Drosophila melanogaster: one gene and its partners. The protein of the gene in region 3 interacts with the protein of the main gene of each other region in a pairwise test. Each region holds a gene or a part of one and is shown on either strand. Other genes may lie near its edges. The genes, in order: Sec24AB, Bdp1, CG6843 and tou.

What was found.
Region 1: the proteins of CG6843 (region 3) and Sec24AB interact in a two-hybrid assay, tested with the Drosophila melanogaster proteins (one large-scale study listed by BioGRID).
Region 2: the proteins of CG6843 (region 3) and Bdp1 interact in a two-hybrid assay, tested with the Drosophila melanogaster proteins (one large-scale study listed by BioGRID).
Region 4: the proteins of CG6843 (region 3) and tou interact in a two-hybrid assay, tested with the Drosophila melanogaster proteins (one large-scale study listed by BioGRID).

What each region holds. Positions count from the first base shown.
Region 1 is NT_033778.4:9,874,931-9,885,339, forward strand, and holds Sec24AB (secretory 24AB), read right to left. Parts: upstream 7,428-10,409; 5' UTR 7,253-7,427; exon of another isoform or gene 6,466-7,252; intron 6,287-6,465; 5' UTR 6,263-6,286; coding exon 4,766-6,262; intron 4,705-4,765; coding exon 4,578-4,704; intron 4,514-4,577; coding exon 4,014-4,513; intron 3,955-4,013; coding exon 3,729-3,954; intron 3,625-3,728; coding exon 3,002-3,624; intron 2,947-3,001; coding exon 2,714-2,946; intron 2,661-2,713; coding exon 2,563-2,660; intron 2,510-2,562; coding exon 2,371-2,509; intron 2,308-2,370; coding exon 2,196-2,307; 3' UTR 1,302-2,195; downstream 1-1,301. Other genes in the region: CG12744 (uncharacterized protein), read left to right, coding at 584-1,029, 1,086-1,122; CG1513 (uncharacterized protein), read right to left, coding at 8,827-8,913, 8,967-9,072, 9,155-9,276, 9,692-9,778, 9,836-9,971, 10,033-10,207, 10,270-10,371.
Region 2 is NT_033779.5:13,369,842-13,377,203, forward strand, and holds Bdp1 (B double prime 1), read right to left. Parts: upstream 3,984-7,362; 5' UTR 3,863-3,983; coding exon 2,854-3,862; intron 2,796-2,853; coding exon 2,467-2,795; intron 2,413-2,466; coding exon 1,663-2,412; 3' UTR 1,586-1,662; downstream 1-1,585. Other genes in the region: ND-B22 (NADH dehydrogenase (ubiquinone) B22 subunit), read right to left, coding at 527-723, 783-922, 1,001-1,098; CG6565 (uncharacterized protein), read left to right, coding at 4,663-5,310, 5,370-5,999; CG9302 (uncharacterized protein), read right to left, coding at 6,872-7,134, 7,198-7,362.
Region 3 is NT_037436.4:18,897,582-18,903,452, reverse strand, and holds CG6843 (uncharacterized protein), read right to left. Parts: upstream 1,860-5,871; 5' UTR 1,723-1,859; coding exon 1,651-1,722; intron 1,573-1,650; coding exon 544-1,572; 3' UTR 501-543; downstream 1-500. Other genes in the region: CSN1b (COP9 signalosome subunit 1b), read left to right, coding at 1-308; arx (asterix), read left to right, coding at 1,981-2,133, 2,202-2,552; RpL26 (ribosomal protein L26), read right to left, coding at 3,684-4,133; CG3902 (uncharacterized protein), read left to right, coding at 5,278-5,313, 5,404-5,509.
Region 4 is NT_033778.4:11,611,947-11,619,371, forward strand, and holds the start of tou (toutatis), read right to left. Parts: upstream 4,100-7,425; 5' UTR 3,633-4,099; intron 1-3,632. Other genes in the region: Egm (enigma), read right to left, coding at 4,984-5,508, 5,570-5,894, 5,956-7,025.

The DNA of each region.
Region 1 (10,409 bases), on a different chromosome or scaffold from region 3:
ATATGATCGCACATTTTTCGGCTAAGTTGCAAGCCTTATATTCGTTTTACTATAAATACTCCTAAATCGATTACATAATGCTGGGTAGGTTTAAAAAGAAAAGAATATTATGCTAACTGTACCACCAGAATTGAACCAATTTCATATCAAAAGAAAAGTGTGTGTGCTGTTGTTTTAGACTGCGCCCTTTTTTCGAGAACTTGTCGAGCCAGCGCTGATCGATATCTGCCCTAACTCACACTTCCCACAATAGCTAATTTTTGTTATAGCTAAAAGAGGCTAAACATGCAACACTGATATGACACTTCGCTCTCTCCTGTTTTCACAATGAGTATGAGGAGAACGAAAAGAACAGTTGATTTCTTGTAACCGAATGGAACACTTGTGACTTTTAAGTGCGCATCGAATAGACTGGATGTTGAATGAAAAGAAAGACGTGTAAATAACGGAGTAAAAGAACGAGAGCGAGGAACCGTAATGCGAGTAGTTCATATGTTGATGAATTGAAAATATAGAGAGTTTCCATTCGTATATTCTTAAGCTAACATAAAAATAAACAAGTTGCATGTGAAATAAATAGATAATGGAAACGGCGTTGGCTGAAGTGCAACTTTCCTGTCTGCTGTGCGAGCAGACTTTTGATGCCACTGAGAAGCTGGACGAACACCTCCCCACCCACTTTCCGCAGCCTGTGAGCACTGGTCAAACATGCGATATATGCGGGCGCACGATGCGATCCTCGCTGGAACTGCACCAGCACTATAAAAGATACCATGAAGCCCATGTGCCCAACACAGAGGGACACTTTCAATGCCAGCTCTGCGACAAGGTATTCCTCCTCCAGGATCATCTCAAGGTACACGTGAAGATTGAGCACGCGACCGATGGCTACCAACCAGATGAGAAGTCCTTAGATTGGCAGCACTACTCTCCCAGAAGTCTAGACACAACAAACGATTATAAGCTGGATCCCATCTTGTGTCCTCCACCAAAGAGGAAGTATCCGCCGCGCTCCCCCTTCTTCAATCCGTAAGTCCAGATACCCAATTTATATTTGTCCATTATTAAAGTTGATATTTTTGCAGGAATCTCTGGCTAGGCGCTGACAACTGTTTTATGTAGAGGAACATAGAACCAGGATATGTCTTGCGAAGGGCTGACCGATTTATTGAGTCTTATGCGCCATCATCTATCCATTGTAAATGATTGTTAATTTAATTAAGGTCTTTCCCAAAACTAAATTGGGATATATTGGGAACAACAGATGTGCCTGTACATATGAAAATAAAACGCATTGCCTTATGATTTAATTAAAATTTATTTCGCTTTATATCTTGATGTACTCGTATGTGTATAAAGTATGGTACAGTATTTGTATATGGTTTTTCGATTAGTTAGCCCACTCAAAGAACGACAACTGCGCCACCTGAGGTACAGGGATGGGGTCTCTTTATTGATACAGTATAATATTCCTTCTAAGCTTAAGACATTCACTGCCTAGCAGTCCAATGAATGCAATACACAATACCAAATCCGTACATACGTTTGAAATAAGTTCGCTAACTACAGTGCAACAAAACGCCTTTCCTTACACTTATAAATAAATATAGATTTCTCTGGATTCCGGAAAATAAATACTACTGAAAACAGCAAACAATTGGGGTAAGCGATAACAATTTGTGGGGCTGAGAAGTTTGCAGAATGTTTGAAGCAGTTGGAACGAACAAAAATCGAGCTAAAGCATAATGTACAACAGTTTCGTTGGTTTATTGCATAGTTTCTATAATAAATAACGGAGCCATCCACTTCTTCGGGAGCTCTACTGACTGGTTAGCTGAACTTTTGACTAATGTTCGCCCTAAACGAACTGGCAACGATATCTTAGTTTCTGTTGTGACAAGTTGGCTCTTTCGCATTTACTATGATCTTCAATTATTTTATTTTATTTTTAGTGCAACAAATCAACAAATAAATAAATACATGCACTTTAAAATTACCTAAGCCGAGAGAGTGGGTAGGGGATGGGTGGTTAAGGTGTATCAAGTGTATGTCTGTCCCGAACTGGTCTCCATTGTTTCGCACCAGTGTCACCTGCATTCGCTTCGTGCTTCTAGTCACCAGAGTCTGAGTTTTTAGGTTCTTAGAAACTCGTATTTATGCTGCATACAATAGTGGTAGGATATCCTGCTTATATACTATTTAACCTGAGCCCGAATGTGTTGCAAAAATTCATAGTATGACAAACTAGATTCACTGCGATCGTCGGTTAATCTCTCGGTGAACTGGCCCTTGGCCGTGCTCGTGTCCCTTTAATTTAAGATAAAATAATTAGCAAGGTATTATGAATATTTTAATAGTGGTCCGACTTACCTAATTATCTGCACCAGCGCCGAGTAGGGCTTATCGTAGTTGAGTCGCAAAATAAAACGCTTCAGCACATCGTTCTCGTTGCTCACAACATTTGGCAATCCATATACATAATCACCCAGTTCTGCGGTGGAGCTGATGCCTGAAATTAGAAACAGATTAGTAACACAAATTGGTTGGGTTTTAAGATCATACCCAGAACAGCTTCCAAAACATCGGGCGGCACATTAAGGCCGACATAGATCATTATCAGCGTTCCGCAGTCCATCAGAAATATTGACCGAGAGTCCAAGCTGAAGTTAAAGCGTTCGTTATCGAAGGTCAAAAATAAATCAACTCTACTCACTGTTCCGCGGACAATTGAAGACGCGGCAGCTCCGGCAACGGTTCATCCTCGTCCTCGTCGTCATCCTGGTTCGAACTAATGTTCGAGTTGCGGGCGTGGTAGATCAACGCATCGATCTTGTACAGCTCCGGGTACACGTACTTCATTAGCTGGTCCAGCGGTAGCGTTTTCATGCAATCCATGGCGTAGACCCGATCATCCAGTCGTGTGCTAGTTCCCACACGGAAAGCGGGCTAGTGGAAAACCGAAATAAGCTGTGATAACTAAGATCATATGCAAAAAACTCACGTGCTTAAGCAGGGCCAAGATGTAGAGCGGGAGCAACGCCAGGCTGCGCGGCGCTATCAGCTGACCCGACTGTCCCGATGGCAGATTTTGTGCTATCTTGAAGGCATTGTACACGTCGATCGTAGCGTTTATGAATGCATCGCGGGCGTCCGACAAGTTGGAGGCGACCGACCGGTCAACCGCCATTTTCGACAGCAGCCCGATAATAGCTTCCGTGTCGGCTGAATGCATTACCTCTGGGAGCGAAGCGGTAACCGGCAAACACACGGTGTGCACACGGATTCGGCGCTCTCCTTCGCTGTTCGTATAGAGCAGCGCAGCTTGGAAGCAAATCGTTTTCGCGTCCGTGAGGCTCTCCTCGTAGGAGATCTGCATGCCATATCCAGCATCCGGATTCACGTTTGGCAACGAGAGCAGGTCCGTGGAGCGCACGAAGAAGTTTCCATGGAATGTATGCACCTGCAAGCCACGAGTGCAGCGGATTCGCATTACCGCCTCAAATCCAATTTTCCTGGTAAGATAGCGCTTGAAACACGAGCGGAACGATTCTACCATGTGTGGCTTTGTCTTCTGGTAGAGCGGGAAGTGGTGTACACAGCCGCCGCTATGTTTGCTAATGCCAGCTATAGGGAAATTGAAACTCCAATAAGTTAACGGTGCTCTATTACTCGTAAGAGAACTTAATGCAAAAAGGCAGTTTGAATTTACATTACTAAGAGTCACTTACAAATGGTTGCCATGTCGCTGTACTGCTGGTTCATCAGGAAGAGGTCACAAGCTATTTGATAGCCGGAGCACTCTAGGGCAAAGCGCTTGTAGAAGTCGGTTGCCGGGTTAAGGTGGGCCACGTCCTTTGCCGAGCGGTTGTTGGGATCTTCGCGCGGCTCCAAGGCTCCGGGTCCCTTGTTGGGAAGGCACGATTGAAAGACGGTTATCCGTCCGCCGGACGCTTGCTGTATACAGTATTCACGATGATTAAGGTTCCTCTTTAATTTTGAATAGCTCAACTCACCATTAGCTTGAAAGCAACCTGCAGAGCAGCACCCAAGGCGGAACCCGGATCGTGGGTGTGGGCAAACCGCTTAGGCAGTTGCTTTAATAGATCACGCACCAGTTCCTTGCACTCCTTTAGGTTTACCAGCAAACTATCAGGACGTGGCAGGAAGGGGTCCTCGATGTCCAGCAGCGTCATTTCGTGCGGCTGGTTGAGCCCCTCGGCCATGCTGTAGAAGTGCACGAAGCTGTCGAAGCAAATGAATCCCACCTGGGTCCTCGCATCACCGGGCATCTCGTCTAAGTGCCGGTTGAGTACGGCGCATGCGGCCTCCAGATAACCACTCTGCTGCGCGATTATCGAGACATCGAAGAGAAACAGGTACATGGCCGGCTGTGGCGGCCGCAACATGTACTCCGAAGGAGCAATAAACTCTATGGTGCTAGAGCGTACCTCGGGCCTTCGGGTTACGTCGCCGTATGTCTTTGTGGCCGGATCAAATTGAAAGTCATCTGGCACTGCACGAAGAAAGAAACATTGGATTACTAAATCCATTATATGCTGGGAACTCTTTTCAATTACATTCGTTGACTCGATAACACAGATTGCACTTCCACATCTTGCTGTCCACGAAGTAAACGAAGGGATTTATGTAAGTGCGGCACAGCCGGCAACGCACAATGTTGATGCACTGAATAACAGGGAGGCTCTGTGTGAGGAATTCCAAGTTAAAGTCTTTTATATCAAATTATTTTCAATAAAATTCTTACATTGACATCACGGAAGGGATGTATCACAATGCCCAGAGGCAGACGTGACTTCTGGAGCAGAGAGTTGCTCTCGGGAATCTTGGTCAGCGTACAGCGCATAATGCTCGGGCTACAGTTTATGGACTCGTGAAACTGGTTGTGCAAAACCACTTTTGGCGGAGGCAACGTTGCCGGCGTTAAGATATGCCGATTCTGCATAAGGTCGATAGTATCCTGTCCCCACAATCTGCTGAATCCCTGCTGAGCCACGTTTAGTGGAGCAGTGGTTCCATAAGGTCCCCCGGGTGCAGTCTGGGGTGCTTGCTGAGGATGTTGTCCGTAAGCCTGAGGAGGCGCCTGTGCCTGATACTGCAGTGGAGCTCCAGTCGGTTGCGTTCCGAACATTCCCGGCGGCGGTGGCTGCACTGCAGACTGAGGAGGTGGTGGCTGTTGCTGTGGTCCTGGTTGATAAACCTGGGAGTATGGATACGTCTGTGGTGTCTGCTGGGCTGGCGGCATCATGGGCTGGGCTCCCGGCGCCGCTACATTTGGTAAGCTCGGCGGCCATACCGCTCCTACTCTTGGTGGCGGCGGTGCATTCTGTAGATTGTTGTTTTGCTGGCTCTGCTGCTCGGGGTTAGTTGGTGGGGGTACTCCGTATGGGATTCGTTGCCCCGCTGGTGTTGGTCTACCGGCCATCGAGGCGCTTCCGAACATTTTGGCCGGATTTGGAGCCAAATTGGGGGGCTTTTGTCCACTAAACGGCGTCGCCATGGCATTGGGAACTAGTGCAGCGGCCACTCCGCTGGCCGCCAACAGACTGTTGGCGTCGTTGAACTGCGGTGGACCCGTCTGGGCCGAGGCCACTCCCCTGCCATCCTTTTGTGTTACTGTGGGTGCGTACTGTTGCTGGGTTTGGGGTTGTGGCAAAATGCTGGTACCTCCATTTGCTCGAGTGGTATTCAAGTTAAGATTTTCCAGATTGCTCGTCAAGTTGGCCAGAGATTGGTGCGTCGGTTGGGGCGAAGGACGCAGTCCCGACGCCAGGGGCGGATTGTTCAACGCTGCAGCGATTGGTCCTTGAGCATATTGAGGGGCAGCTCCTACTGGCCTTGGGGATGCAGTGCGCGAAGAGTTCGCACTGGACGCCCCATTGCTGCCGTTCGTAAGGGGTGGTCCGTTGGCGGCGGGCGGACGCAGATGGGGCGGCAGCGTGCTGGGCGGCAGTTGCTGCAGAGGTGTAGCTGCTCCTGACGTGGGCGGCAAGAACTGGTTCGTAATACCACTGTTGAACTGCTGCGGCGGTGGCACATTACCTGGCGCTCCTGCTCCCGGAAAAGCTGCTGCAGGAGGTGGTTGCTGGAACTGTTGTGGCTGCTTCTGTGGTATATACTGCTGACCAGGTGGAGGACCTGGCTGCTGCTGGACGCTTCCTTGCACACCATTCACAAAATTGTTTCCGTTCAGTGGCATAGGGGCGTGGGCGGGAGGCACGAAGTTCGGATTGTAAGTCGACATGCTGCTAATTCATAGGTTTGTGGTCTGAAAGATGAAGAATTACATTTTGTTTAGTTGCTATCTTATCACTAGCGAAGGTTGCGTTGCTGCCGACATGAAACAGGGAATTATCTTATCGTTCAATGTTAAAAAGCGCGTAACATGAAACAATGTGCGGCTGATAAAAGTTGTAAAGTTTTAAAGCGGGATGCTTTTCCCCGCTTACAGACAGTTTAGAATTTGCAGTGATCGAATGGAATGCGAAATTCTGCGTTATTGGAGCTTTATCACAAACTTTTAAGCTAGACTGGCTGCCTAGGTAAATGTCTTGATTCAGTGTTTACAGAACTGTGTCTACGTCAACAGTAAGTCGGAAATAGGGTGATAATTTCATATCATATTTTGCTGTTTAAACAGCTTCGACAGCAGGTCGTTATGGGTTATTATGTGATGTACAACGTGTAAGTGTGCGTGCCTCAAGCACTTGACCTCGCCATCAATGATCGCAGAAGGTGGGTCGGTTAAATTGGTGACCCAGATGCAGTGGAAGCAATCAGGAAGAGAAAGGATTTGTCTCCGGAACAAAGCAAATTTTTGATGACGTGCCTATTGGCGAAGTCAACCCGCCACGCCCACCACCCACTCAAAGAAATTGGGGCAATCAAGGCATATGTAGTGCCCATAACACGGTTACCAATCACTTATCACCTTCCCGAGCTTCAGTTTTCATTGGCATGAAGTTCCTCGGCCAGCACTTGCACTTTGTAGTTGCCTCTTCTTCTTGCGCCCTTGATTGGCGATTTTGCTGCGGACTATGAATTAGCTTTTCCGCCTTTCGTTGTGAGGAAAGGGCGGATGCAGCTGTAAAAACCACTGGTTGTACTCTTTGTTCTGGTCTTTTGTGAAATCCTTGGCTGGATTTTTCTCCGCGAACGAAAATTAAACGATTTTCGCACTTCCCTACGCTCTCTCCACTCCCAAAACTTCCTTCCGCACTAGTTTCTTTCTTACACGATTTCAAGCGCTCCTCGCGTGCTCCGGATGGATGCGAACACGTCCTATATTGGCAGGCGGATTCTTTGGACTTGGCGTCGTACGCTGCTATGCACAATTAACTTAAATGCAAACTTTTTGCATTTTCCGGAGAACAAAAAATTTTGAGGCCACGTCAATAGTGTGACCGTTGGTTTTAAAAAAGAGATGACAGTGCTCTGGGTCGCCTATCGATTGCAAATAAAATGTTATCGATACCAATGGTAACATTATTTTTGTAACAATTCAAATTTAAAACTTAACGCAATGTTTATTAAGTGAAGACAAGCAATGTATATTATATATAACTCTGTTAATGATATGAGCTTAAATGTTCGTAAGCCCGAAATCCAAAATCCATTAAAACTGCTTAAAGAACAAATCGCTTTATTTGCAATATTTGTATCTGCTTGGGAGTAGCTCAATTTCTCAATTAACACGTTGGTTAAAAAGAAAATCGCAAAAATATATACAAGTTTCCCCGGGCTTGGATATAAGTTCCAATTAATGCCATTGGGATTACAATTCTTTTATTCTACGGGGTAACTAGTTCGTTAAATATTACTTTAAATCAATTTCGAAGCGTATTTACTTTATTCGTTTCATTTTGCGTTAACTTTGCGTGAGAGTAGTCGGTAGATTTGCTGTGTGGGTGGTGTTGCTTCCTGGCTCGTAAGTTATAAAGTTATAAATTAAATTTAATGTCTATTATTCAACGTGTCTAGGAGTTCGGTTTTCAATTGGGTTCTATTGCAGTAAGGTGTAAAGGTGTGTCACCAGCGGACTCTTGGTAAAGCTTTATTGTTATTATTGTGACAAGTGGAATTCGAAACATAATACTAAAGGTAATCGTATTTGATTTATAAGCTATGCGACTGGAAAATCATTGTGCACCGTGTGTTCTATGTCCGTGTGTCTGTCCTGTGGTCTTGGAAAGAAGCGAGGGTGCAGTATCTGTCGGATACTAGCGTGTCGGTATTGTATTTCGTCTATAGCAGAGTCTTTTATTTCAAAAATAGAATCTCTATTATCCTTAAGTAACTATCATTTTGTAATCTACAACTTTTGATATATCCCATTATGTATTGGATTTCTTTCTTTGTTGCTAGTTAGTAAATGTTAGTAATGTAAAAGGTATTGAATAGGTGTCATTGTGTTGCAGTTTACTGCGATTGCCTTTGAAACACACTAGTACTTAGTAGTAAATAATAATCGTTAATTCTGTATAGAAACTGTGAGTGTTTGATTTTTCTGTCTCCGCTGAGCTGTCGAGCTTGACTCGCGTTCCAACCTAATGAGCAGAGCTTTACTCCTTTCTTTTTCTCTGTGTATATTATTTACAATTAATAACCAGACCCTGGAGCCTCCATCATGGATCTCCTTCTGCCAGTTCAGTTGTTGCTCTAACTTTTCCTGCATTCGTTACGTTGTATCGTCAGTGTTGAGAGGTTTGCGCACTTGTGGAATTAAACATATAGTTGAGGCTCGTTCTTGATATGATCCATATATATAGACGTTTTTGGTGTTGTTGCTCTCGTTGTCAGTCGGAGGCATTATCTCTTGGCCTCCTTCTCCTGCAGATACATGCGCTGACTCAGCGGCTTGGCGTAGATCCAGTTGTCGCCCACGGGCTTAAAGTGCTGTGAACGAATATTATCTGTTAACTGTTTTACCCTATATCGGGATGACGTACCTTGTGCTCCCAGGCCAGATCGTATTCCTTGCGCACCTTGGCTTGATCACGCTGCTGTTGCTCCACAACGAATTTGGCAGTTGTAGCGCGCTCGATGTCATTGAACCTGTGGAAGAGCAACGAACAAAGAGATTACATTTATCATGACTCGCAATTGGGGGTCAGGAATTAATTGGTATGCTGTTTACTTGAGTCCCGCTGTCACTTCCTTCCAAACGCGTCGCGATTCGTACTCATCCTGCTCAACGATTGGTCGAACTTGTTTCTTAAATATGGGTATGCGATTTACGTCGACGAATACTTCGGTTTTCTAGAAAATTCAAGAGATTCATTCAGATTCACTATGTGGTCAACTGATTGGGATTGGGTGTAATATTAAACACACAGCAATCATATATAAGTACAGATAGCAACAATTTGAATACAACGTTGGACAATCAGGCATAGGATTAATTTGTGGGTTCGATTTTCTAGACAAACAAAGTAAACACACAGAGGAAATGCTCCCGAGCTATTTAAGAGAAAAGCAGAAGAATCGTGGATAGTAAGTAGAGGTCTAGTTGGGGTGTGAAGGGTGGATGTGGCTGCCAACTCGTGGGGTTGTTTGTTGCAGCGTTTTGGCGCAGTATGCGGAGGAAAAAGTACAAGTAAAGGATCAACATTTACAGAAACAATATATAATAGTACACTACAAACATAAACCAAACATATTTTGGACGACTTACGTTTTTATCATGCCACTTGGCCTCCATCAAACCACTCCACTCGCCCGTAATAGAGACGAAAGGCTTCTTTTCGCTCGGCGCATAGACCTATGGATTATCCGAATTAATAAAAGAAAACAAATGTACACATTCAGAGCTAGTCACCTCTGCCGAGACCCTGTTCCGTTTGCCGCCATAGAATGGCTTGGTGAGGAACTCCACGTTGGCATAGTATCCAGACTGTGGACACTTGATCTCCACCGAACCGCCGAGCTCAATCCAAGGCACCGTAAGAATAGACCTTGGTAATGGAAATAGTCTTCAGTTGTTTGTAACCGGAAATACCACAGACACGTTCTCACCTGCCGTAGCCGTTGGGGAAGGTCACTATGTACTCCTCGCTGCGATCCACCAGGGTCACAACACCCTCACCAATGTTATGAACTCCAATGGAGAGTCCCAAGAACTTCGACTTGGTCCATACATGGGCCGCAAATGTTATTTTTTTATTATAATGCTCCGCATAGAAGGCAGAAACTGAAACAAATAAATGCGTAAGTGATAGAGGTAATAAAGTCTTGTTTTTTTCTTTGTATTACTTGGCGGATGGTGAGACACTTGCTCAGCTAAAAAGGTGAGTTGATCCCGCCTGCACCAAGGCACTGGACCGTCGCGTACCTCCTGAGCGTCTTGGGATATGCCTAATATCAAGGAAAACGCGTAAGTGGTGGTCTACAGT
Region 2 (7,362 bases), on a different chromosome or scaffold from region 3:
TTAAATAAAATATACTAAGTACAAAGGAGTTGCAGTCGAACGGTCCTTTCAAAGTTTTGTATCACGCTGATCATTGGTCGAAAGCCCCAGTATTTCTTTAGATTTCAGTTGTACCCAAATTAACACAGCTAAATAATGTTTTTGTGACCAACATATGCATACCTCCTTTTGCAAGAAAATACCATCATTCGTATAAAATGTCGAGTACAAAATTTTGTAAGCTTTGTTACTGCTAGTTCATGAATCACGGTATTTTTTTTTCCATTCTTTGGACTTACCTTAGGAAAATATACATGTACTTCTCGCAAAGTTTGTAACCTAAAATGTAATGCGTTTATAATCTGGGAATTGATCTGCATAACCAATTGTATACACTATTATTGTAAATTGGCAATGAATTATTTTGGCAGAAGGAAGATCGACTGAATTCCAGTACAACACATTTATAATAGCACATAATGTGAGTTCCAATAGATTTACTTTTAAAGACAAAGATTGGATGTGATTTGATTACGGTACTCTAAGATTAGTGGTGTCCCAGGTCCTTGGGGTCGGGCTTGCCGTACTGCTTCTCCCACCAGGTCACAAACTCCTTCTTGCGCTGCTCCCGCTTGGCAAAGTACTCGGGGTACTGGGCCTTCTCCAGGGGATGCCAGTAGTCCAGGACCCAGTCGGGCGGAATCACCTCTCGTTCGAAAGCACAGCCACCGGCACTGTTGGCAACTACAACGATAACACACGTTAGATACACAGACATATGACCATACGTTCAATTTGTTTACAGTTTCGGGGCTGGAAATGCCTTGTCTCGAAAAGCTCCCTTTGTCCACAGGCTAGGAGGCGGATGCCCTCGCCCAGATCTTTGGAGCGGTTTTCGTCGAAGCGAGCACGCAGCTGCACAGCGCGGTAGCGGTAGACATTGCTGATGGGCATTAAGAAACAACCAAGATGCACTTGCTCATTATATAATATTTGGGAATTCTGCGCCGAGTGCACTCACCGTCGGTCGTACCACGACTCTAAGTTGCGCAGTGCTCGCTTGTACAGGCTGCACACCTGGCGCTTGTGCGAGACGATTGCCAAGGGAACTTGGGCCATCGTTTTTTACTATATTGGTTAAATTGTATTAATTTGCTACCGCAGCCGAGGCAACAACAACAACAGCTGTCAAAAGTCCAGTGCTCTAAAGCCCTGCGCCTGAAAATATGTGTTGCGAAGCGAAAAATAATTTTAGAGAACGGCAACTCTGAAATGAATGGAAATTCAAAAAATATTTATATATTTGATTTAAATTTTCTATACAAAAGCAATGGCTATCTTTGCATTTTATACAAGCTTTTGTTATTGCAAGAAATCGAAATGATCCTGTCTAGAGTAGATACCTATAACCAAACACTTTTAATGCTTAAAAGCCTTCTTGCTACCCTATTTTATTTATAAAATAAGACTATTTTGACAAATCTGTTATAATTGTATATTAATTACAATTTTTTTTAGGAATAGTTAAAGAAACCAAGAAAGTCAGTCCCATTTTTGCATTTTTTGCAATTCCCTTTGAATTTGCGAGGAACAAGAAAGTAATTTTGTAAATACATCTAGCGAAATGCTTTAATAAATTATAACTGTTAACAAATACTCTTAAGATATAAATATAAAATGTCGTTAGTCCTCTGGCTGCATAACATTCATTATGCATTGAACAATATGCTCTGGTATTTTCAGAGGCGTTTCGCACAACTCGCCCGTTTTTTTGTCCAGCATGTAGATTTCGTTGAGCACACGATCCTCGTGCTCTGGATCCAAGGACGAGACGAGAGCCAGAGATCCTTCCGCAAGCTCGGCGAGAATTTGTTCGATATCCGGTTCGGTAGTGGACGGCGGAATGGGGTCATCCGGCGTTATAAGTTCATGATCTTGGTCTTCAATGAAGTTTATTAAATATGTCTCTGCCTTTCGATTGGGCGTCTCTGGGGCGGGTTCGACGTCGCTGACATAGCTTAGGGTACCATCATCCATATTGATAATAGTTTTATCACGTGGCTTGTTTACATCTACGTCATATTCCACCGGATCATCCATGAGGAGGCCATTGAGCTCAGCCTGCAGTTCTCCCCCCGTTGGCAAATGACTACTCGTTTGTTCGGTTTTGATCGTTTTTTCCTGCTTAATGGCCGCCACATCAGACAGGCTTTCCGTTGCCGCTGGAACTGAAACCTTGGGAGATCGTCGCTTAGCCTTTGGCTTACGTTTGGCCGGCGCACTTCCGTCGTTCTCATCGGTCTCCAACTCCTTTCGCCTTTTGGCCCAGGCGTGCTTGCCGAGCTTTGTACTCGTTACGTGCTCGTTTTCGTAGACAACATCACCATCGTTTAGTGCCCTTGAGGCCTTGCTTTGCTGCTGTACTCGGGAACGCTAAATATAATTAAAAAATGTAATGGTGATTACAGTCAGCTACAAATTATTTACCTTCTTAGGGTTTCCCGGAAGAGCTCGTGCGATTTCCCTCCACTTGCGATCATTTTCTTCCCTTTCGCGGTCCTCCTCTTCCAGTTGATCCTTGAGCTCCTGAATGTTGAAGGCCTTAGGATAGAGGAGTGCTTTGTTTATGAGCTGCCCATTGGTTCGCTCTTCCTTTTTGTACTTCAGCTTTAGATCCCGACGTGAACGTGTTGGAAACATTTGGCACATCAGCGAGAAGTCCGTCCCAATGATCTGCAGGCTGCGGTAGAAGCGGACGGTCTCATCGGAGGTCCAGTATGGCGTGCGCTTGTGGCGTTTATAGAATCCATTATCTCCTGCAAAGTATAAAATTCGTTAAGTATTCAACTTTTATGTATTAACTCTGCGGCGCACCCGTAGTCTCGTCCATTAGGATTAACGATGAGTTGGCTAGCACCTTGCGGGCCTCCACCTCGGCCGTGGTTTCGATCTCCAATGTTTTCTCATCAATGATCATCTCGCCATTGGCATCAAGCTTTAGCTGAGGCACTAACATAGCGGATGTGGACTCTCCCTTGGGTTCCAATAGTTGACTGACTGCGGGCTTGGAATCATCGCCACCAGACTCATCCTTGATGGTCGTCACCGACTGTTTGGGCACCATGGGATTGTTCTCCGGATTGTAGAAGATCATGTCCATCATCTTGAACGTGGACTTGTCGGGTACACCCTTATTGAAACGGGTTTCAAAGTCTCGCCGGGCATTTAACCGCTGTCCAATTTGACTTTGCGACCTATCGTCGCCCTTCCTCTGCTTGCTACCTCCTTCGGAATAGGTGGAACAGGTGGATTCGGTGCGAATGCGTCCCATGCCCGGACTAGCGGGCGGTAGGTATTTATAGGGGGACGGAGGCATAGGCGAGTGCACCTGCTGCTGCAAAGGAGTTCCCGATGAAGAACCGCTAAGATAGCGCTCTCGCCGCGTGGGCGTGGCTGGCGACTGATAGTCGCCCTCATAATCACTGGCCATGGGTGAGCCCACGAAGCTGTTGCGTCGCTGGCCAAATACCGGAGTGGGTCGCACACGCTGACGGGCTTGAGCCTTGCTGGGCGACATAGGGAAGCCATTGGTGGTCTTCTGCAAGTCCATCTGAATGACATTGTCCTCGAGGTCCGAGTGGAATACCTCTTCCAGCTGCCCAGCCGAGCTTGCGGGCATCTTGAAGGCGATTGCATCAGCCTCTAGTTCCAATTCCGCAGCAGGGGTCGATGCAACGGGCGGGGACTCAGCCTCTGCTTCCACCACCACCGCCTCCTCCTCCTCATCCTCCTTTTTCGCCGTTGGGAGCTCCTCCCTGCGTGGCTTGCGTTTGATAAGCGACAGGTTGGCCGGAGCCTTGATGCGCTGGCGCCGCATGGACATCCTGCCTGGGTACTCTTAGGCTTCTTCCAGGCTCAACCGCAGTTTCACACATCAAATCGAATCAAAATCTGCGCAACAAAAACAATGCGGCCGCAACCACGAGTTTCCCAAGTATAGTGTTGGCTAACGCCAAAGAGCATTCACAGTGTCCTGGCCATGTAAGAAAGTAGACAACCAATTTATTTAAAGTTTCAAAATGGCTATAAAAAACTTGCAGTACCCAAAAGATTTTTTAACAAATAAAAAAAAAACGAGATAACTGCGTTATTAGAAAGCATGTCAAGTAAATTTATTCGCAGTGTCAAAAATAAATTGGTATAAATTATGGCACACTTCACCAGATTCACGTCAAAAATTTGTACACAGTAAAAGTTTGGTTGAATTTAATATTATTTGTGTTTCAGTGTTGCAGAAAAGTGTGATCACTGATCGTAGCTGTCACCTCTCAGCAGGCGGTTTGCGATTTTCCAACACTGCTGCCTGTAACGGCACAACAACAGGAACAACAACAGCGGAATAACAACAGAAGCAGCAGACAAATTGCAAGTTGCACGTTTTTTCTAATCGGGCAAACATGATAAGTCCGCCCAGATCCTAACCAAGCTCTCGTGCAGTAACGCTTCCGGCAAACCTATCGGGTGTGTCCTGGCTAGAAGTACTAAATTCCCAAAGTTTTCTGGCGACAAATGTGCCAAGTGTGCGGGGGCACAGTAATAGCGAAGGAGCATTAAGAAGTCGCCGCACTTTTGAGTAGGTTGTTATGCAAGCGGGCGGCCGACGGACAAATTGAATTAGCCGGCATGCTGTTCAATCGATTTGTACTGGCCATCAAGAACCAGTCCCGAGAAACGCTGCGTGCCTGGAGCTACCAATGCGAGTCGATTTTCGCCCAGCGCTCGCGTCGCGTTCAGCAGTTGTTCAGTTTCTACCAGTCGGTGTATGGAACTCAGGGTCTGAAGCAGCTATGGCGCGCCTACTACCGCCGGGAGCTGCAGCCTCCGCTGCGGGGAATGGTGATGAGTGCAGTGGGTCTCGTCGGGCTGAATATCAAGCGAATGGGTAGCGATGGCTTCGATTGGAACAAGGAGCGCCTGGCCTTGTCCAACTTTGATCTGTGCCGCCGGGATATTGAGTTTATCAACGCCCTGCCCAACAATCAGCTGTGCGACCGCTGCCAGGCCAAGAAGATGAAATACTGCTACTGTCAGCTGGGCAACCAGCGCTGCAAAAAGGGCCAATCCCAGCCGTCCACCAGCAAAGAGGCGGAGACGGATCCGGACACCAGCATCAGCAATTGTCTGCGACCGTTGGATCTGGACGTGCGCAATGCACCGGCCGGAACGGTACGCATTCAGGCCCAGGACGACCAAAAATGGGAGCCGTACTTTAGCAAAAACGAATTCAGCATTTGGCGGCGGCAGGAGCGCTCCTCCTTATACTCATACAAGGTAAGAGGCCATCTAAAAGTTTTTTAGGGCTCACTTTTATGCCGCCTTTCCGTTTGCAGGTTTATGCTCGATTCGACGACATCACAGCGGACGACTTCCTCCACGTTCAAACGGATTTGGATTACCGTCGCCAGTGGGACGACACGGCCCTAAGACTTGAGCTCATCAGCGAGGATCCCGTCCCGGGCAGCAACTCGCATCTGATATACTGGGAGATGCAGTGGCCACGACTGTTCGCCAATCGCGACTACGTCTATTGTCGCCGCTACATAAAAGACGACAACAAGAAGCTGATATTCATTTGCAACCGCGGAGCCACGCACAACACCTATCCGGCGTTGTCTGGAAAAGTTCGCGTCACTGACTATTGGAGCCTGATGGTCATCAAGCCCTTTCGCGGTTTCCATGAGCCAGGCCTCCACTTTGTCCTCACGTACTTCGACGATCCGGGCATACCCATACCGCAGAATATTAAGTCCTGGGTTACTCAGAAACAAATGCCCGAGTTCCTCACCAAGATGTACGTGGCCACCAAGAACTACGCCTGCTCACGGGCCATCAAGATGAAGGACATGTTTCACGGATTCGCGCTTATCAATGACGAATATACGGCTAATGAGCAACGCGGCAGTTGGTTGGGCAGTTTGAGCCGGCGCAAGGTCAATAGTAAACCCGAAGCAGGTCGTTAACTCCTTTACCATTATATACCTGGCTGCTCCCGCTCCCATGAGACCTCCCTGCCCAACAGAGCCACGTATCAAACCATCCGAAAGCCCAGTTCCATCTTATGTTCATCCCTTCGATCGGCTTTAAAATTCAGGCGAGAGAAATCGAAACCATTGAACATCAGAGCAAGTGTGCAATAGGTGGAAGTTTTGCTCTTAACATGAGTGCCACTTTGATGAGAAACTTAAAAATAAATATATACCTATATTAGCTATATGGCTAAACCAAAATATTTTAAGTTTAGAAATTGTTTTAAACGCAAATAGAAATTATTGAAATTAATTGTACAATAAAAGAAACGAAAATAGACACCCAGAGACTGAAGTCTACAAAAAAGCAATGTCTTGCATAACTATTGATATTTTACGGCATTAATTTTCATTCATGCATAACATTATCTACACCAGATAGTAACACTCGTGCTTATCAAATAATTGGTCAAGCATTATCTTGAATTACCTTTTTTCAATTACAATTTCTCACCCGAACTTCGGCTATTCTTATCGTGCACTGTATACAAATCAAATTGGCTTAAGAGGATTACACTAATCTGATATGGTATTTAACATACTAATTTATATTTTTAATTAAATTTTATTATTTTATTATAGAGGGATAAGCGCAGTAAAAATGAAATTATACTATTAGTTATAACATAATTTATTAGTATGCTATATAGTTACAAAATGCGCATACATTCTATAAAATATTCGATAGTCTAGACGACATTCAAGCTGATTGTAAACTGAACGGAACGAATACAGTTTATGGTAATACAAAAAGTGAGATTGCAAAGTGTTGTGGGAGAAGCATCGTTATACTTTGCAACAGCGTATCACAGCTCTGTGCGGTCCGCTGAGGTAGGCGGGTTGTTCATATAGGCGATAAAGTCCTTGCTGGTGCGTCCGCCATTGTAATCCAGCTTGGTTTTGAGGTAAGAGAAGTACAGAATGGTGGGATATCCGCGTACGTTATACTTTGCGCAGAGCGCGGCAAGCTTTGTGCAGTCGATGGCGACAAACGCTATCCGAGGATCATCCTGTAAGGCCGTGGCAGCCGCTGTAAACTCCGGTTTTGTGTGCTTACAGTGTCCACACCCTGAAGACGGTTAGTCTTTAGTAGAGCTTTAAATATGTTTAACAATCAAGCGGCAAAACTTACAGGGTGCATAGAACATGACCAGCGCATGCTTTTTCCTCTTCAGCGTCGAACTGAAGTTGTCGTCATCCAGAAATAGGACTTCCTTGCTGTCCTCCTCCTCCTCCCAACTCTTTTCGGGTGGCGGAGGCGGTGGGGGCTCCTTGGGATCTCTCATAAATTCAACAA
Region 3 (5,871 bases):
CGTCGGTGGGCGATCTGGAGAACGAGGTGATGCAGTTGATATTAGACGGACAGATCCAGGCGCGTATTGACTCCCACAATAAGATCCTGTTCGCCAAGGAGGCGGATCAAAGGAACAGCACCTTTGAGCGGGCTTTGATCATGGGCAAGCAGTACCAGCGTCATACCCGCATGCTTGTTCTTCGTGCTGCAATGCTCAAGAGCCACATCCACGTGAAGAGCATTTCCCGGGAGGGTGGAAGCAACCACGGCGCCGAACTTTGCGTCTCCGCCGGATCCTCGACAACTGCTCAACTCGCCCGAATCTAGAGCAATTTAAAAGCACCACTTAATACCCAATAAATTTTTTAAGATATGTATATCACAAGCTGGCAAAATAAATAATTATAGCAAAGCTAATGAATGATTTTAAAAACTAGTTGGTTCCTCAAAAACGAAAAAGCACCATACTTCATCGTGTAAATGAAATATAAATTAAATTAGAATTTTAAATATGACGATACAAATTGATAAAAATTTATTGGTGGGTTTTACAAAACTAATTCTACCGCCTGGACCGATCTCTGCGCTCCCTCTCCCTTCTTCGGTCTCTGCTAAGCGATCGCGAGCGATCTCTGGAGCGGGATCGATCTCTCCGATGCCTATTTTCATTGCTCCGCCGTTGGTAGCTATGATCCGAGTCCCTAGTCCTTTGATGTCCATTTCTTTTGTCGTCCCTGTGATTGCTTTTGTGATTGTCCTCGGAGTCGCTGCTGTCCGACGATGAAGAGGAGTCTGAGCTATTGCTAACTGAGCCCTTTTTGTCTTTTCTGCTCGATTTGTCCTTCTTGGATTTCTTTTTCTTGCTATCTTTTTCGTGCCTTTCCTTTTTTGATTTCCTTTTTGTGGGCTTCTTGATGCCCTCGCCTTTGCGCTTCATTCGTTCAATCTTCTCCAGTTTCTTCAACAGCTTTAGCTTTTGTTTCTTGGACAGGGATTTGAGAAAAACTAGTTCGGGATTTTGGTCATCGGCATGAGCGTCCTTCTCGCCATCGCTGGGCACCAGTTGATGTTGCTGTTGAATGGCCCTTATGCTCTGCAGCTCCTGTGCCGATCGCTTCATCATGAGGCCATCCTCCTTCATCTGTTCCTCCAGCACGTTTTTGGCCATGATGTCGCTGGCCTCTGTTTCTGCGTGCAGTTTCCGTGCCTCGCTCATGGAAATGCTGTACATGGTGCACTCCTTGTCCGTGTTGATGTGGCCCCACTTGTGGCACTTGAGACAACGCACATTTCTCACCTGGATGCCGAAGGGCTGGTCCCTGATCTCGGTGTCGCCCTTGCAGTACGACTCTCTAGGAGCGTTGTACTTTCGCTGCCACTCGAACTTGTACTCCGGCTCGTTGTCATCTTTTTCGCGCTCCTTTCGCACTCCTGGCGGTGGCTCGTACATGAAATTGACGCTCAGCTTATCCTTGCTGTCCTTGCTGAGCATTGCCTTGTTCTCGTGCAAATTCTGCTCCTTTTCATACTGGTTGCGTAGCTCCTCCTGCTTCTTTTTGTACGCCTCCGCCTGCTGCTCCGCCATCCAGACCTGCAGAAGGTAATCCCTATAGTTTTAGGCGTTTTGCTGGGGAAGAACATATTTCATCAGGAGCCCGGAGCCACTTACCCTTTTCAAGTTGTCCCTGGAGGCGGGGTGGAAGAATTTCTTGCACATGTAGTTGTTGAAGCCCTTGCCCATCTTGCTGCTGTGCAATTTCGCTACCAAATTGCAAACAAATAACCAATATACAACTTTTATAAATACTTTCCAGCTGCGATATCAGGGCACTTTGACTGCGCTTATCGATAGGCTAAGAAAAGTATCGCATTTCATTATCGGTATAGTAACACAAGTAGATAAAGCGTTGCCGGACTGTTTGTATTTTACGAATACATTTTAAAAGCAACTCGAAACCTTAGGTTTTGTTTCATGATGAATAACTACGACGAATCCGATATGGTTTATTGCCCGTACAACAAGGAGCACAAAATGCTGCGCAAGAAGCTCCAGCAGCACATCTTAAAATGCCGTGTGATCTACAAAGACACGGTGGAACTTATGGTTTGTCCCTTCAATAGTTCCCATTTGATACCAGAGCCCCAGTTCTTTGTGAGTACAGAATATACGTAGTAGTTACCTTGTATGTCCTATTAAAGCCCAGCTTTCTGCATACGTAGCAACACACCCAATCGTGCGAGGATCGAAACATTATAGTACACTATCAGACCAGCGCTCCTGCTGTCCTCAGCGAAGACACCAGACACGCGAAGATCGAGTCCGAGGAGAACTGGGATGACGACGAGAGTGTGCCCGATTACGATCCTCAGGTCTACTGTTCCAGGGCCAACATAGTGAGAGAGCCCAATGGGTTGTTTCCCGCCCAGCGAAGGGCTTTCATCGAGCAGGAAAAACGTCGTCACTTTGGCGAGGATTACGAGGAGGAGAAGAAGCCGCGGAAGGCCAAGGCTCGCGCGGATCTTCGTCCCACTCCCTACGAGCACAGGAGGCCATACTCAAGGCGCCAGTAGTTCGTGTTCATCAAGAATTACTCCCACTGCCAAAGAACAAAAACCAAAACATTTTATCGGGGCTTATACTCGTTATTATAACCAAAAAAAACAATTCCACGGCCAAATTGTTAAAATTAACATGTGCTGTGAAACAAGTATTGCTCGCAGTTCAGATGAGCAAATGACAAAATCAATCTCATATTATTCTGAGATAATGAAAATAACATACATATCCCAAATTCATGTACATGTGTAAACTATGTGCCTTTTTCCATTAACGACACAGATAATCGTGAAATAAAGCATTTCACTTTGTTTCTTATCAAAAAAAATACTCGTTTCTTACTCTTCCTTAACCTATCAGTTTATCCCCAACAATACCTTTATTCGTTTATACCTTTAATTCGTTATTGCCAAAGTGGGTATATAAATAGGGGAAATCCGACGTATATTGGTTTCTTTAGTTATCCTAATAATATTGGCTGTTTTTCAAATCGGTCTGTTCTGTTTATTCTACCTACAAAATGAAACTCTTTGGGAAAGTTAAATAGCTTTGAAAGTTTGCTGTTGATGCTTATCAAGATTGTATAGTAGGAATACACGATCGATTATACATGTAAGTAGCCATTACGTATTAAATCTGCTATTTTTGGATTTTTGGTTACAAGCTTAACTTAAATCAATCATTTGACTATTAATTTGAATGGATGGATGCCAAATACAGCATTTTATAAGTCCAAATTCAATGAAAACTCTATTTCAAGCTAATGCAAGTCAATTAAAGGTTTTAACTTTTAGAGTAACAAAAATATGGAGAAGATGGCAGTATAAGTTATATCTGAAACAGAATCTAATCGGGCAGTAATCAAACATCAATAATCTTTGCAAAACAAATAGCAGAGCGTCTCTTTTTAAACTACTCCAAAACTTCTCAGCTACGTCGGTTTTCCGGCACATTTATCTAAAACTTCATTCAGGGAAATAAGCCAACAGATCCATTTGTGAAAATCAACTTTCCTTTATTGTAAAGAATGGCGCCGTTTTCACACGCGATTTTTTTCAGATGTTTTGTTTTTTACACTAAGCGTTACGGTAAAAACAGTAAACAGCGACGTCCCAGTTGTCCAGAGCAGAGTTTTAGCCGGCGATTTACGCGGTCTCCATGGGCTGGGCGGCGGTCTCCTCGGTGTACTTGCCCTTATCCTTGCCGAGAGCGGCCAGACGACCCTTGCCGCGACGCTCCAGGATGGCCTTGCGGTCCTTGTCGAGCTTCAGCTTGACGATCAGCACCTTGCTGGGATGGATGCCCACGTAGACGTTGGTGCCGTTGGCGTTCTCGCGCTGGATCTTCTCGACGTAGACGACGAACTTTTTGCGGTAGGCCTGGACCACCTTGCCCACCTGGTTGCCCTTGAAGTGGCCGCGGATCACCTGGACCTCATCGTCGCGGCGGATGGGCATGGAACGCACATTGTACTTCTGGCGCAGCTCCTTGGAGAGGGGAGCGGACATGAGGCGCCTGCGAATGTGGGAGGGAGCCTGGAAGTGACGCTTGCGGTTCTTCCTGCGCGACGACGACACGAACGGGTTCTGTTTCATCTTGCTTGTGCGGGCTGTAAACAAAAAATAGGCACTGCTTTATTGGCGGGCTCTCCGAAATTCACAATAATTGCACGAACGAGTCGTGCGTTGTTTTCTCTGCTCGATTTCATTGTTTATGGGGCATAATATGTGGGGATGCCGGGCCAAAAACGAAATTAATCACGAAAACGCACTCACCGTCGAAAAATCAACGAAAAGAAAGAAATTTGACAGATGGGTCGCGGTTAGGGATGGCAAAGAGGCAGTGCTGGAGGTGGTATTTCGTAACGATAGTTAACGATGTTATCGGTTGTACTTGTCAGGGGTGAAGAGCATTGGATTCTACGTTTATAAATGGTTTTGATAGCTCATTTTCCTTCTTCTACGCTTATTTTTTTCCTATGAAATTGTTTAAATATTTACTGTTTTGTTTATGTCTTCCTGTAACTGTTTAATTTAATTCAGCTAGTATCGATAACACTGTCATCTCTAAGTCGTGAACTGTCAAATTCAAAGCATGTGCTTTGCAACACTTCAAGGGAGTGTGTCTTTGCTAAAATCGTGGTCTTGTTTTCACTGTTACAATTCAATATTTTCCAATTGGAAACCAGTTTAAATTTTTCCCAACTCGTGAAAAATAAAAATAATTTTAAATTTTCGTTAAACGTTTTTATTACGTTTTAAAAGCATATTTTTCACATGTCAACATACTGATAGTTATAATTTAATAACGGTTCTTAATACCTTTGTAAAAAATGAAATACAGATCAAGGATCTAACGAAAGGCCATTAATAAAGTAGATATGTAAGTAATATAAAAAATATAGACAAATAGTTTTAATAGAATCAATAGCAATTCAGTGATTGAATTCATATTTTTACCAGCGTTGAAGAAAGTTCAGTAACATCTGTTGATCATCCGCACTAACAGAATGTTACCGAAAAGCTCAACGAAATACAGCCCGCTGTTAACTAACATGGCGCTTCGCCAACAGCAACAGGTTTCCTATGGTCCACGATCCCCACATATGTGGAGAATGGAAATTCAGTCGCGTGTGAGCAGCCCACTTTTAACGTTGTGGTGTCTCTGGGGATCAGATCCAAAATTCAAAAAAGTCCAGTTTGGCCTCTTGATTAAATCAATTCTTCCACTTCATTCAAGATGATGAACAGCCTAAAGAAATTGCCCGTGCGCATGGTGAGTTGGCCACGCCCCCCTAACCGACACCTTTATACATACATATATGCCTACAACTAATTCCTTTTTCTTTATTAATTAACTTTTTAGCTGGCTAACGCTGCACGTCAGCAAAGTGCTGCGATGTCCTCGGCAACTGGTCTCCCCCCACCCCTCACCTTTCTCACCGACGATGAGAAAATGATGAAGGAGACTGGTGAGTATACCCTTTGGATCTAAATAGATCATAGTGTTAATGGTACTGTACACGGAGTTGTAGTCCCCATTTGATAGGCGTGTTTTTTCTCCATGTCGAATTTTTAGATATTTTTATGGTGTTTAGAACTTGCTTGGTGTTACGTAACACCAAGCATCGCATTTTAATGATGCTCTTGTTATTTATTAATTTTCCATTGTGCTAACCAGCTGAAGTCTTGCTGCACTACTATGTGTGTATTCGTATTTTTCGAGTTTTGTTCTTTTTTTTTTCCTTTTTTGCTGATAAAGTTTATTCAGTTGAGGGAAACGCGGAGGAGGCCGCTTGCCAGATAAGCACATTTTTATTTTGATAGTAGAAGT
Region 4 (7,425 bases), on a different chromosome or scaffold from region 3:
AAAATGTGTGCGCATTTCAAAATGCAATTGTTCATCAGCCCAAACCCCCCACCCCCTCCTTACTAAACTACCCGAAAATCAACTGACAAAATGTAAAGCCCTTTTCAGATATTTGCGTTCTATTGCTTTGCATTCGCTGGGTATTATCACTATGGTCTCAAACGTATTAATTCCAGCTTATAAAAATACTTTTTTATTTTCCATTCTTTTTTTTTGGGTTTAGTTCATTAAAAGAATGTCAAAATATAACTTATGTATTCAACATAACTTTTCTTATTTTTTGCGAAAGAGTATTCACGTTTCTGCGCTTTCAAAAAATATATATGCGCCTATGTGCATATAACCCATCTAAAATATTTGAGTTGCCTAAGCCCATGTTGCTGATTTTTTGGGAGCAACTACTGTTTGCTATGTAGGTTTTTGTGTGCTTTTGGAATCCGAATTTCAGGAAGTCCTCCTTCCGAAGTCCTTTCGTTTATCTCTGGCATTTAAGCAGAGTGACTGTGGCTACTGTTTGCTCCTCCTTTAGGCCTTCTTCTCGCCTTTCTTCGCCTCCTTAACACTTCTCACCTTTTAGGTTCGAATCCTGTTTGATTTTGGCCAGCCTCACATTCCCCATTTCCTTGCCATCGAAAAAACTCAAGGTGCAACCAGAAATCTGTTGACTGCACAGGAAAAAAACATCTACCAATGTTGTTTATAAATTATATTATAATTACATACTTTCTTTCTTCTAGTTATAATAAATGGTATTCACATATTTATTGTACTTAAATTTCTGTGATTGAAAGTCTTCACTGTTTATTTCCCATTTGGCCACGATAACTAAACGCAGTTACGTAGTTAGCATTTTTCTCAGTGTGCAACTTTTAGTTTTGAAACAATTGCCCATGCAAACCTTCTGCCTCTCCTCCCTCTTTCCTGCTTTTCGTTGCTATGCGAAAGGAGAGAAGGCAGAGCTCGAGCATGTTGACGAGTGTGAGAGGTCGCAGCATTTGTCGCCATTTATTTACACGATTAGAAATCGATTTTGTGCGTTCCCATATAGAATTCCATATGAAATGACAGCCGAAACGAACAAATATACAAACACAGACATACAGAAAAATGGGCGGTTGTGGGCGCAAGGGGGGACTGGGGGTTGGGGTGACATGTAAGGTCCCTCCTGTATGTGCCGTTATAATGATTTATGTTAAGCTTATTGCTCACACACACACACAGCCAGAAGTCGAGGGTGTGTGCGAAAGAGACGGAACCAAATCGAAATCGATTTGCGGGCAGAGTAAAAGCAGAGCGAAGTAGAAGAAGCAGCGGCAGCAGCAGCCGGAATCAGCCAACAGTGGCGACATCTGGCGGCTGGCACCTCTTTTAATTTTTTGGCCAAAAAGGGAATCGGAAATGCAAAGAGGAAATTGCAATCAAACAAATGAAGAAGTCCTGAATAGACGCAGTTAATGTTTTGATTAGCTAAGTTAATTGATTTGCAAGCAAACAAAACAATTGCATTCATGACTTTAATGTTAACTTTGGCTATTAATAATCTTTTAGCATAAATAGATCAATCTAACATAAACTTTAAACAGTTCTTACATATATGTACATGTATGTATGTATGTTCTCTTAATTACTAATATATTTTATATAAACTATGCTCGCGATAAGTTGCATTTATTTTGAGTTAAACCGGCATATATGTATTTCCAATTTAGTAAGTGAACTGTATTTCTTAAAATCCTAAGCTTGTCATTATAGAAATAATTGTAGTTTTTCCCGAATCAAATGCTATATTTGAAACAAAAGACAAAAAACCAGCGGCATGTGTGTTTGTAAAACAAACAACGCAAAGAAGTGAAAAGAGGCAAAATAGCAGCCAAACCAAATTGATTAACAACTAAAAGTTCAACGCCGGCAATTAACATGCGAAGGGGAAATTGCGAAATATGCCAAGAAAGCTAAGGAATAGCAGTATTTGGGTAGGGAAGGAGGTGAAAAATTCACTCAAAAGAAGGAAGGACGAAGGAGCAGGGCCGAGGGAAAAGTGTACAAAACAAAATTCAAAGCCCAATCCACTTGCAGTCTTGTTTTTTTCTCCTTATTTTTTCTCTATGTTGTGTACCCGTATTTCTGTCGAGCGTATGTACGTGACTGTGTGTGCGTGTTTGTGTGCTCGCGAACTCTAGAACGAAACTAGCCTGAAAGCCCCTCATCCTCCACCTTCTGCAGCTGCCCCTTCCCCACACGCTTTACAATTTATATACAACTCCAAGAGCAAAAGCAAAAGCCATTCGTGCGCAAATCTCAAATAAAAGCGCGCAGAACCAGCAACAACAAATAATAGCAGCACCAGCAACAAAAACAACAAGCGACGCCGACTTCTCTGCCGCTGATGAATTGTATTTGTGTGAACCCAACACACACACACACGCATAACACATGCGGACAGGGCGGGCTAAAAAAAAATAAAATAAAAATTAAACTACAATATGAGCGCAAAAAGGAAAATAAAAGAAAAAATTGAAGCAGAGGAATCGGTTTCGAGAGGTGAGTTGACTCCTCGAGGTGTCTTTGCCTCTGCCGCCGTCGCTGTCGTGTTTCGCTGCCCCCTGCATTTGTCACTGTATTCGTGCGAGTACAGTAAAGATTGGCTACTCAAAATTCCCCGGTTTTAGTTTATGGCTATATGATTAGTATGTGAAATTTAAAAGCTCGTAAATTAAAATATTTATTTTTTTTTGTCATCAAGAGTTCTTTAACCTGAATCTTTCATTTAAAATAAATGTATTCATCTTGATCTCTAGCACTAATTGCTTAAATATACATAAATCGCTATAGAGTACTTATCAGTAATCGAATCAATAGAAATTGTGTTTTTTTTAATAAATAAAAAAATAGTTTTAATAAATAAAAAAAAGATTGTAATAGTTCAATTTACACGGTTATCACTGCAAACTCAAAAGATTAGTGGAATTATAAACATTTCATTTTCTTACAAACTGCTAAAAATGGTAATTATTTGGTGCAAAAAGTAAGTATTTTACGTAGATTCTTGTTTAAGTTGTCACTGAAAAGGAATATATTAATTTCAACTATCCATGCTGTCCGCCCAAACAAAGTCCCACTGTATGTTGTATTTGCTCTGGCCAGCAGAGTATGCTCGCATGCGTGTGTGTGTGTTTGTTGGCCGCGTCGTGTGCCACTGCTTGTGGCAATTTCCAGAGTTCGCCGTTCGCCGCCTTCATTGCTCACGCTCACTGTCACCGCCGAAATACAGCAAGAACAAGAACAAGAGCAAGAACAACAAAGGCACCACCAACAACAACTACAACATCACAGGGGCAGCAAAAGCATGTGGAACGAAATGAAATGGAATGAAGGACTGAAATCGGCGACGCTACTTCTTTCGCTTCTTCCTCTTTTTTATCCGCTTCGGTTTTCTGCCTATTTTATTTGTTTGCGGTTGAAATTGGGAAGGGGAGTGGGGAGGGCTGATAAAAGGGGGCGGGGGTGTTGTATTGAACTCAACGGGAATATTTTAAGGGTGAAATCATTTAATTTTTCATCAGTGAACTTTATATTTATACACTTTGTATTACATATAAATGAGTTTGATTTAGCTTTAAATTTTAGCTCACCTTTTTTGTTTGTTTAAACTGCTTATCGCTGATTGACTTCTCGTCTTTTTGCTGCCCATTCATTTGTCACCCACTCACACAAGCACAAACACACTTAATTTTTAGCAATTTCTCGAACTTCTTTGCTCTTGATATTTCTTCCTTTTTTTTGCACACTCACACCAATGGAATAATTTTCGCCGCGGGCGTTTTTCCTTTATATTATCCGCCTTTTCCTTAGCGATGATTTTCACACGAGTGTCACTGTTCCACCCGCACACGCGCAAATTTCCAGCTATTCGCGAGGTTTGCAAGTTCACTTCAACTTTCTATATTATTTTTTAAACATCAAAATCGATTAATAAGACACGTATGTGCGCGCCGCTTAAGAATCTATCATTATTGTTGTTTAATTTGCTCGCAGATGGATTAGATTTAAATTGGGGTTTATCTTTTCGACGTCCGAACGCTTCGATAGAGAAACCGATACTCTTTTATGAATCTACTCTCTTCGATTTTCGCTGCCTGCAGTGCTGCCGCTGCACGAGTGTGAGTGCATGTTAGTCGCTGGCAGAGCTATGTTAACTAACAGTGGCGAGAGCGTGGCGGCGAAACAAGTGGACATGAAACCAAATCTTGCTGTGTAGTTGTGGGCACAAACAAACAAACACGCACACTTGCACACGGTTCTATCTATTAATCATTTAATAGTCATCCAAATTATTAGGAATTCTGCGCTTGTTTAGACAAAACCTTTAACCACATTTTGATTGACCCGATATTGACTGAGTACTCTAAGTAAGCTAGCTGCTTTACGTTGAAAGTACAGTACAGGCTATTTTACCACCTGTCCACACACACACACGCTAACACACGTTCATGAACGAAGAGACCGCATACTCACACACTCACACCGCTTTTGGCCGTCTTCCTGCGCCGCTTAGCAAATTGTCAATTCTTTATCAATTCGCCCAGTTCAACCACTTAAACGAAATGCAAATCCAATTCCCAGTGCAGCGGAAAAGGCGGACAGGTGGTAAACTCAACGGATTAAGACATTTCACGCTGATTTCCCAGAATGCTGGATTATTTGTGATGGCTTAGGGGGATTTTAAGAAAATTGTTCTACTTAAAAATATGTTGAACAATTGCGTCAATCAGTCTATTTAGTTTTTTTTTTGGCTAATATTTGCGTGAATTATTAGAAATATAAAATATAAAAACTAGTTGTCAAATTGTGTCCCGGAAAATAATCCACAAATGTGTTTTACCTTTTGGAACCCTCAAGACGAGATTAAACACATGCGAATTATCAATAACAAGTATTCACTTTAATCGTAAAGGCAATAATAAACTTAACTACCAGCTTGGCTTAGAAGTTAAATGTCAGCGGATGAACAGCGAAGTAGCCCTTGCTCTTGGCCACTTGCTTGGAGAGTCGCACCAGGTTGTTGTCGTTGTTCACAAAATGACCGCCATAGATCTCCGTGCAGAGGGTGCGGACGCGATCCCTGCCCTCCGAGCATATCGCTGTGGCCGTGAGCAGTTCATGATCCGCCAGCGGCAGTCCAATGCAATACGATCGGGATGCCCTCGCCACGCTGGCCCACATGGCATAGATAAGGGTGCCCACCTCCGCCAGGCGCTGCATTTCACTTTGACGCTCCACCACCGCGTTGCCGTGCTTGGTGAACATCAGCTCCACGGCCATTTGGAGACGCGCCACCGACAGTTCAATGCACTGGGCAGCCGCCTCAAGGGAGGGATGCACGTGCTCCGAAAGCTGCATCTTGGTCTTGGGATTGTCGATGCTGTTGTTGTCCAGGAATTTACCAAAAATGTGACCAGGATTGAAGAGTGGATTTCTGGACTTTCGCACGCCCGTATTCATGGCTTGCTGAAAAAAATTTTTGTTTTTAAGTACCATTACACAAGTATCAAATGGACAAGAAATTTACCCCCGCGTGCTGCAATCCGGTGAGGGCAATGAACATGCCCAAGGTGTCCAGGGATTCACCTTGCGTGCACAGCTGCGCTGCATCTCGTAGTCCCAGCTCCGTGGTCTCACCGCTGAGCAGACTCTTGGGTCCCACGACTCCCAGATTCTGGGAGGCAATGGCGTACACCTGTCGCAGGGTAAAGTACTTTGTTATGGCACTCTCCAGAGTCACATCCTGGGCACGGAACTCATCCAGCAACCCGGCGGTCAGGTAGAGCATGCTCTCCATCGCGTAAACGGAGCACATCGCGCGCGACATATGGATGCGGGTGAGCTCCAGGTCTCTATAATTGAGTAAATATATTTTTATATAAAATATAGCTATAGGAAATCAAGAGTACTCACTGCAGTTGTACTCCGCACTGAGTGGTGTTCACAGTGTACTGGGCCAATTCGTTTAGCAGTTTCTTGGCCAGCGATAGTCCCACCAAGCTGCCCCTCAAGCGGGAGGATCGCACCAGCTGCTCCGAATAGCGGTTGCCATCGTGTGGTAGGCCCACCACCTGATCCTCTCCCAACTTAACGCCTTCGAAGTGCACACGCCTAATTTCCGCTTTCCGGCAACCGAATGTGGCGTGCTTTTCGCCCAGGCGCACTCCTTCCTGCTGGGAATCAACCAGAAAGATGGTGGTGCCACGTCCCAAAACTCCCGGAACATTCGGCTGTTGGGTTTGGGCCAGAACCAGGAAAAGCTGCCGCTCGCCGGGTGTGCAGATCACGAATGATTTTTCGCCATTGAGCTGCCACTTTCCGTATTCGGGAAACAACTCTGCCGTGGTGTTAAAGTAATCCTCCTCGGGTGGAGATATCTCATATATAGCCTCGGTACCTATCAGTTTACCAGTGGCCAAGTCCTGGAGATACCTCTGCTGTTGCAACGGAGTTCCAACCTCTTTCAGAAGATCCACGACCACGCGATGCGTTTGCAGGCCCAGGGTTACATTGATATCCGTTGAATCCGGCTCACTGGCCATTAGACTGGCACTCCAGCCATAGCCTTTGCCCTCGTAATCTGTGGACACATTTAGCCCATAGAGTCCCAGCTGGCGGAGGGTCTCCGGTGAGGTCTCCTCCGTTTCACGTGGCTCCACAAAGTAGTTCTTCAGCGGCAGCAGGGAATTCTCCAGCTGGGCCATCTCATCCCGTGGAATCACCTCCGGATAGGCCAGCAGCTCCTTGTCCACCACTCCGATGAAGAAGTTTTTGGCCAGCGGCTCTCTGGTTGGTAGTTTTCGCTGCTGCTCCGGGGACTCCTCTACGGATTCCGCTCTTCCACCCTCCGTGGTCGCCGCATCCTGGTGCTGTGAGTCCAAGCTGCTGGACGTGGCCTTGGTGCTTCTTCCCCGAGTCAGAAGTTTTCCATTTCGGCTGTAAGTCAAGAGCCGCGAGGCGCCGGAAAACAAATTGGGCCGCATATTTACTAAGAAATTAGGTAAGCCCCGATAGGTTCGCACAAACTTATCGATAGCGATTACAAGTGAGACCAGCTGCAGATGGAATAAAATAAAGCACAACCTACCAGCGGTACTTTTATAAAATACCCTATGGCGTTGCTCAGCTGATCGACATGCCATACAAATTTAAAGTATGTAACGGTAATTTTATGATTTTGAAATAGTCTACAAGAAATTCAAATAAACAAACAATTTTCCACTGAATTCTATAGATCAGGATCTTCATCTTTCAGTTGAGAGATTTATAAATGAGTTTCCTTCATTTCGAAAGATATAAATAGAAATATGTAAAAACTTTTTAAATTGAAATTTCAATGCGATTAAATTTGTTAACCTTACCCAAAATAAACACATTCCCTTT